Daphnia pulex: one gene and its partner. The protein of the gene in region 1 purifies or fractionates together with the protein of each later gene. This does not show direct contact. Links are inferred from orthologs where the notes say so. Each region holds a gene or a part of one and is shown on either strand. Other genes may lie near its edges.

Region 1 (4,512 bases):
TTCGACTTTCACAATACAGTTTGTAAGGATTCAATTAATCGAATTTGGAGGGTTACCTGAACCACTGTGAACGCTGCCTTCTCTTCCATACGTAAATGTAGTACTTTGTACAGGCGCCGATCCGAGGGGATCACTGCTGTAGCTGTAAGGCATGGGCGCATAACCGGTTGGATAATAAGGTATGTGAGGGGTAGCCCCACCGGCTCCTGTAGCACCAGGCCCACTACCCCAAGGAGTCGGCAACGGCAACGGTGCGAGCGTGTCTCTATCGGCTTCCGATGTCGTGTCATCAGTCAGGCGAAGAGCCGAAACACCTACAAGATAAAACCCTTTCATCAAACAAAATATTCTATAACCCGATAAGTCTCAAATGTCAACTCACCCAAACACAGGTCTCCGAACACGTAGTAACATTGTTCAGAGAATGTGTACTTGTTTACTGTATGTCTGATGTAACCGTTTCGCAGAAGCTGGGAAGCCAACTTGCGGGCATCACGCCGCTCTTCTAGTCCTTGCACGCGATTGTGAAGCCAGTCGACCACTTCTGATCCAATAAACGCACTTGGAATTACAATTTTTAACCAAAGGCGATCTCTAACTTCAAGTCCGGAATCTGGGCGCGCCATCGCTCGCACAATTGCGAGCATGTCTGAGCGCACTGAAAGCGGTTGGGCTTCTTCAACTGGACCTGTGACAAGTAGTACTTAGTCAAAAGTTCTTTCGGTACATTTTCTACGTGACAACTTACGTTCGGTTTCTGGCATACTCGACATCATTGTTGTGGTGGTTGACGACATCGTCGCCACAGATGGCGGACGATTCGGGTACTGCGTTCCACCTAATATGACGTTAGATTTGTTGTTGGATGCCAATTTATGATTTAAAATACGACAATCACCTCTTGCTGCTTCCGTGTGAGCAACCCACGCACCGGGATCAATAGGGCGAACAGGTTCCGTACGGGGTATAGTGAAATATCCTTTTGGATTAGGATCCCAACACTTGGCGACTACAAGTTTGATTGGGCTGACACATGCAAATAAAAAACACAATGTACTAAATGTTAAGTTGGAAAACAAAAAAAACAGTTATGCTTACCCAGGTTTCTGGACAACTTCTCGTAAAACGCGAACGGCATCGTCATTTGACATATTTTCAAAGTTAATATCATTGACTTGAAGGATCATGTCACCAGGCTCGATTCGACCATCCAAAGCGACAGCCCCACTAAATAATAGCAATGATTTTCATTTGAAATTACCACAAGAAATATGTCAGGTTCATCTGTGTTTATACCCTTTCATTATGGATCCTACGTAAATTCCACCATCACCACCTTGATGACTCTGGCCGACGATGGAAATTCCTAAAAAGTTGACTGTGTCCATGTTGAGGGTGACAGTGATTATGTTGAGTGACATAGTGGAATCCGTGATACTGGAGAATGATGAAGCTCGAGATGAAAGAGGAGGGAGGCGGGGACGGCGACGATTACGTCTCCGATTGCGACCTTGGCGAGACACACTAGTGTGATCTGCAAATTTCAAAATATGCAAAATTTTCAATAAATCCAGAGTTATTATAACTTTGCTTAATACCCGTGGTCGTTGTGATACGTGAAGATGCATCTTCTTCAGAGTCAACGAAGCTGGTCGACTCTAAATCCGAGCTGATCATAGAAGAGGATTCATATTCGTGTCCAGCTCTGTGTCTCATAGCGTTGTGGCCATTTCGAGGAGCTTGAACTAAAGAGACAATCGGATGTTAATCGAATATATAGTAAGATAAGACATTCTACATGAAAATTTAGTGAAGCAACAATCTACAAAAAAAGCCATGCTAACAAACTCACCATCAAAGCGATCATATTTTTCATAAGTTTCACGATGCACACGGCCAGAGCGGGGCAATATGTGCCTCTCTTCATGGCAAAACATAAAGAACAAAAGAATTGCAGAAGATAACGAAAAATGAGATGCAACAGGACAAAGGTAAACACATAAACATAAAAATACAGCATAAGGAAATAAAGTTTACCACTGTGTCTTGAACTAATGACCGATTCTGTCTCAGTAGCTGTTGTGTATTCCTCAGCCATACTTCTGTTATGGCCAGGGCTAAAATCAAATGACGAGTTAATTACCAAACTTTACAAGCAGTGAAAATTTGTAAAGAAAAAACTCACTGGAAAGACGGTGGTCTCCCATCAGTAGTGGCAGTACTCTCAGCACATTGAGATACAGAGTCTGAAATGCTACTTTCAGCTGATACTAGCTACAAAGTGAAAGAAACATTAAGACATCTTAAAATATTCATCAATATAATTTAACTTGTTACGTTTACCCATGATATGACTCTTCCATTGAAACATGGAAGGTGAGCATCGTCATCAACAATTTCTTCCTTGACAACACTAGAAACATAAACAATAAAGAGAAAACAATGCTTACACTTGCATAAAAAAATAACTACATGGACAATTATCATGTAACACGTTATTGCCACTTGACAACAACAAAAAAAAAACGAGAAAAACTGGTTTTACCCGAAATCGTCGTCCATTGATTTGAAGAAAAATTTGTAATTTGGACGATTGAGAACATTCTTGAAATCGGCTAGGGTAACTTGATCGGGAGATATTGTAAGTTTAACAAGATAGGGAGTTTCTTCTTCGTCAATGTGGTAAATAATCTTTGTTTCCGCCATTAGGAAACTGCGTCAAGAGTCAACGACAACAAACCAATCGTTTTGACAAGATTACAAAAACGGGTAGGGCGTCAAAAGTTACTATCTGCGCAACATGAAGAGGACTGAATAGTGAATACAGACTTTTCCCCTTTCCCTCAGGCTGTTCAATATGGCGAGGCTTAAAGTCTTGTGAGCCTCCAATTGGGCGTCCCGGTTTTCCCAAAAAATATTAACGTCAGCCGACAGATGGTTTTTCCGACCCGCTATCCACAGCGTAGCCATCTACTGCTCACACTGCACACTACTTGCTTCAAATTCAAATCTGGCAAAAAGGGGGGATCTTCAAAAAGGGCTGTTGTTCGTGATTTTTGTTTCATTTAAAAAAATAAAATAGCATATAACGTTGAATAACTCGCTAACGGCCGTGATATATTAATAATACAATAATCATTAATCATGGTGAATTGGTGATCTTACTATCGTATCCATAGTAATATAATATAATATATATTAATATTTATTCATAAAATAATAATTAATATGTATTCTAGCTTTGGTTATCATGTAAGCTGTAAAGATTCCTTAAATTTTCGATTGCTTTTAGGTTGTGGTATCATGGCAAAAGGGCAGCAAGCTAGTAGCCAGTAGTGATGTTTCGTTAGTGCTTTTTCTAAACGTTAGCGTTATCCGTTAAGTTAACGATGTCTCATTTTTTCACGTTCGTTAACGCCGTTAATTAACGCCGTTAAAAATGTCTCCGTTAACGAAAATTCGACGTTATTTTTACCGTTATTTAATAAAAAAATTGCACTATCAAATCACTGAAATCAGTCACGGTCTTGATTACTTATATTTAAATTGCTGCTGGCGTTGAACAATGTCACAATGAAGCAATGATCAACTAAAAAAAACAGAAACTGCGGATTAAATAAACGCACAGACAAAAGAAAAAAAAACAAGTTCCAACTAAAAAAGTAAAGGCCTCAATAAATCCTTATTGCAAGTGAGGAAGACTTTTGCGGCCAAAACTTCTTCCGCCGTCCTATTTTTGTGTCCTAGACAGTGCCATCCGGCAATGGAAAATTCGCGTTCAGATGATGCCGAAGAAACTGGTATAACCAGTAAATTATAGGCCATTTTGGATAATTAGGGGAAACGACCAGACAAATCCTTCCAGTAAGAGATCACATCTTGAACTGGTGGATCCTTAGAAGGATCAAATTCATGACTTGCAAAGTGGAAGTTGTCTAAAAGTTCAGTTTCAATGCAGTCGAGGGAAGTGGCTAGAAGGTAGGAGCAGTCGAAATCAGGATCTCTTTAATCTGTCATGAAATTAAATCTTCTTTCGAGATCTTCTAACATCGCAGATGCCACGCTTATTCACCGTCAACAGGAGCATCAGAGTCTGAATCTGACATTAAAGATTTACACTCTGATTCTAGTTGTTTCCCTACTCTACTTATACAGTTTCGTTTGCCACGTTTTGAAAGCAAAAAAAAACCTCAGAGAAGCTAAGAAGACTACTGCTCACTGTCATTGGCTATTTAAATTCGTTTTCATAGTCAACCTACTACAGTAAAATGTTGGAAGCGCGCAAAAAATACAAATTTCATTTTGAAAAATCCAAAAATTTCATATTTGGCAGCGCTGTTAAAAACAAAAATAACGTCTGAAAATAACGTCTGAAAAATGCCAAACGTTAGCGTTATCCGTTAAGTTAACGAACCCCAAAAAAGGTCCGTTAACGGACTTTTCACGTTATCCGTTATCGTTAACGAAACATCACTAGTAGCCAGTTCTCACTGAAGTTCGTCTGCCACCACT
Region 2 (3,841 bases), on another chromosome or scaffold:
TCAAGAGAGAACATCACCATGAGATTAGAGTAGTGGAGTATAGTAAGTAGCCTACATTGTCAAGTTCAAAGACCTTTGCTTTCTCAACAAGCGAATCTTCTGCTCGCATTTCATTTTATTGAAATGGAGCAGCTCTGTTTTCCTCGGTTTTCCTTGGATGTATAATAAGAATTCAAAATTGGCAATTTACATAATACATCGGTGCATACGTCGACGTATTGCTGCGACAGAAAAAGATGGGGTTACAAATGCTGGTTTTGACGCCCTCATTGAAAAAGTGCGGCGGAAGCGGAACTAGCTATCCAATGCGAGGATATGGAATGGAGCTAACAACTGGCATTATTCTAGCGTGGGCCTATTCAGTGAGTAAATTAATCACGACTTACCAACAAGACGATCCTGGTCCAAATGTTCGTGAAGTTGAATCCTGACAGCAACGCCTTCTACATACATCCTTTGCACACTTTGTTCGGATAATATAGCATCAGTGCCTTCGGTTTACAATCAAATGCCTTTATAAAAATACTTTTCACAGAATTTACAGGCACAGCAGGACGCACAATTAAAAGTTCTCACTAACAAATACGCGCCGTAAAGATAAACACTTCCGCACTTGATCACGAGACAAAAGTTACTGCCATTCTGGTGGGCGTTGCAAATTTAGTAATGTAATAGATAGAGGTAGGGTCAGTAAACGAAAAAGAAAAGGAAGAGATCGAAAAAGAACCTTTTTTACCTTTCCAAACCCACCCAACGCTCTAACTTTTTAAAAAAGGAATTAATGAGTCTAATACTATATTTATAAATGATAATAAAACAGATGGTGTTAAGTCAAAAATTGTATTACTGTAGCCAATCTTGCTCATTTAATATACTGTATGTATTGACAATATACATATTTATATATAAATAATTATTAAACATTTGCATAAAATAAGAAATCCTATTATTGCACGAGAACCAACTGTTGGTGTGTTATTTGGAGAAATCGACCACATTCAAACAAACAACTGTGGCAACTCGTGGTCGTAAATTCTGTAAGCAACACCCAAAGGTATTAACGACATCGATGAACCGAATATATCGCCAGGATTTGTCGTTCCGCTTTTCTGATTTTGGGTGCTCGCCATTTTCTATTTTTCCAGTCAAGAAAAACACACTCAGATTCTTCTTCTTCTTCTTTTAGAGTTAATCTCTATCGGTATTATATGATAAGGCAAACAAACTTGTGATGCATATATCCTTTTCTTTCAAACAGAACTGATTGACCTTCTTTCACTGAGTATATGTAATTTAATGAAGTGAGTTGTGTGCGTGTATATGTGTCAAATTAAGATATGATGCAATTCTTGTCCTTTTCCTTGTCGCCTCCGCCGGAGGCCGCTCTCGACGACAGTCCCGTCGCCGAAGTTTGAAGCGTTTGAGAGCGCTGGCGGGCTGAAGCCAGTGCCATGGCGTCGTTGGGCACGTAACTGATCCGGACGCCACCGTAGGCGGCTCGGCGCGCTGCCGGTAGACGGTAAGATGAGTAGTCCTCCTCCTCGTCGCTGCTCGAGCTCGAGCAGGTGGAGCAGACGCTCACCATGTCCATGTCATTAATGGGGCGATGTCTGTTGACCGGTCGGCCACTGCTGGGACCAGCTTCAGCTCGGGTTCCAAATCCGGTAGCGCTGCCGCTATTCATCGCCTCTTCAAGAGCTAAATCAAAATTTGTTGTTAATGTTTTCAGTCTTTTAGGATGATCAAAAGCAATAAAAAATGATTTTACAGCTGCGTCCGGAGTAAGAGTGAGAGCGCGGAACATTGGGATTTTGCTGTTGAACTTGTTGCTGTTTCCTGCGACTGCCGCTCTTGTAAGAAAATGATGAAGAGCAGGAAGACGGGTGATGATGGTGATGATCGTGGGTTTTTCGGCAGCCACCGCTACTGCTGCTGCTGCTGGTGTCTCCTTCGGGGCTCCTGCCACCACCTGATGCTCCTTCGATCATCGGTACCTGGGGACACGAAAAAAGAAAGAGAGAAACGCGTTAGCGGCCTTCCACACGATCACAAAATAATGATTATAACTAGTCTCACTTGATTTGGATCGAATCTGACGCTGAGCTGTCGGGAATCCGCCCCGCCATTTTTACTCCGCCCAGTCATTAGATTTGATTTTCGAGGCGTGCAACCGTCGCCTACTGGCGAACTGGCATCGGCCGGAGTATCCTCTTCTTCGTCATCGTTGGACCCGGTCTGGTTGCCGTCCGGCTCCGTTTGAGTCGAAAAATCCGGAAGAGAAGACGAATGGGCGTCCGGACTGCGACGCAATCCTGTCAGTTGTTGCTGCTGCTGCGGCTGGATCAAGTTGGCCGCTGCGGCGGCTTCCAGCAACTTGTCGAGCACCTGCTTGGTCAGCAAAGGCGCCATTCCGCCGGCGGCCACTTTGCTCAGAAGCTGTTCCAAATTCAAAACGGCCGGATCGGTTGTTGTTGATGTCGCCGACTCGGGCGTAGATTGAGCATTTGAGGTTGGCGGTGCCACGGCCACGTTTTCCGTCTGCACCTCCTACGGAGAAGAAGAAGAAACAGGAAAAAAAAGAACCAAAGTCATTAGCGAGGGACGTCATGCGTTGCTGATAAATTGATCGTTACCTGGCGGGGCATTTCGGTCGATTTCGGCTCCACCTGTTGTTGCTCGGGGCTGCCAGGGAGGCCCGAATACATCAGCGGCTCGGATCGATAGCGCGGCGAATCGTCGAGCGAAAGAGTTTCCAAGGGCGGATGATTCTCGTAGAGCGGAGGGGCTGGTTGCTGTTGCGGTGGTGGCGCTTGGTAGGGGCGCAGGCTCTTTCGGCCCATTCGCGGAGATCTGTAAACGTGAGTGGGCGAGTTGCCAGCCGAGGCGAACTGCTGCAAGTTGATCGGCGGGTTGCTGCTGCTGCTGCTGCTGGTGGTAGCCGACGGCGGTGGCAGCTCGGGCGAGGCGACGTGCTGGCGGTAGTCGACGACCCCACGATGAGCGATGCCGACGCTGGACATGGGCGATGACAGGGGACTGGCGGTGGTGTTCAGGCTGGATCCGCCGAGGCTCGATAAATCCGTCATGGGCTGCCTCTTTGAGCGTCGGACTTGGTTGGGCGACGGAGAGTTCAAATCTGATCCGGCACTGACGGCGCTGGTCACGCTCCGAGGCGGAGCCGGAGGCAAACCCAAGTTGAGGCTGGCAGAAGATGCGGGCGAAAGTGCTTGCTGGAGCTGCTGCTGCTGCTGACTGCTGGAATAGTCTGAGACTTCAGTCGTCTCCGAGTTGGCGTCATCTTGATTACCTGTGAACGTTTTACAACAATAAAACGGTTAGAAGAAAAAGAAAAAGAAAAAAAAAAACAGTTTCGCCACGGTCCTCACTGGAAATCAAATATTGAAATCGGCCGGCATGCCAGCGACGCCAGAAGGGCATTTAAAAAAGAGCAAAAAAAAGTCTCTGAACGTGATTTCACGAAATATTGATTCGCTCGGCGATAAGTCGAGATTATGCAAAATTTATATGGCCCGGCGAGAGATTATGATGAGCATAAAAAGTGTCGAGCTAGGTAGAAGAAATACCATTTCGGCCACGCCATCTCTGCTGCTGGTGCTGCTGGGTCTTGCCAGACCTGATTCGTCTCGGACTGCGGGAGGCGGACGATGAAGGCGAGCCGATGGACGGAAGCAGGGACGGACTCGGTCCGCTGATGCCGGACTGATGGTGGTGGTGATGCATCAAGCTGTTGTTGGTGCTGCTGCTGTTGCTGTGGGTGGGCGTGTTGGCGTTGGAGTCGGTGCTGGGCGTTGGTGGCTCTCCTTTGCTGCACCCAATCGAA

The links.
Region 2: the proteins of segment polarity protein dishevelled homolog DVL-3-like (region 1) and protein prickle-like purify together in Drosophila melanogaster (affinity purification with western blotting, with the first as the bait; 3 studies listed by BioGRID). This does not show direct contact. The link is inferred for Daphnia pulex from reciprocal best matches to the Drosophila melanogaster genes dsh and pk.

Annotation. Positions count from the first base shown.
Region 1 is NC_060018.1:12,878,350-12,882,861, forward strand, and holds the start of segment polarity protein dishevelled homolog DVL-3-like, read right to left. Parts: upstream 2,925-4,512; 5' UTR 2,707-2,924; coding exon 2,546-2,706; intron 2,414-2,545; coding exon 2,344-2,413; intron 2,275-2,343; coding exon 2,186-2,274; intron 2,118-2,185; coding exon 2,038-2,117; intron 1,922-2,037; coding exon 1,853-1,921; intron 1,746-1,852; coding exon 1,599-1,745; intron 1,535-1,598; coding exon 1,297-1,534; intron 1,228-1,296; coding exon 1,099-1,227; intron 1,027-1,098; coding exon 899-1,026; coding exon of another isoform or gene 839-898; coding exon 749-838; intron 689-748; coding exon 383-688; intron 315-382; coding exon 57-314; intron 1-56.
Region 2 is NC_060020.1:6,111,854-6,115,694, forward strand, and holds the end of protein prickle-like, read right to left. Parts: coding exon 3,585-3,841; intron 3,308-3,584; coding exon 2,634-3,307; intron 2,548-2,633; coding exon 2,077-2,547; intron 1,995-2,076; coding exon 1,769-1,994; intron 1,699-1,768; coding exon 1,331-1,698; 3' UTR 827-1,330; downstream 1-826. UniProt on the Drosophila melanogaster protein: Acts in a planar cell polarity (PCP) complex; polarization along the apical/basal axis of epithelial cells. Correct expression of the alternative isoforms is required for PCP signaling in imaginal disks.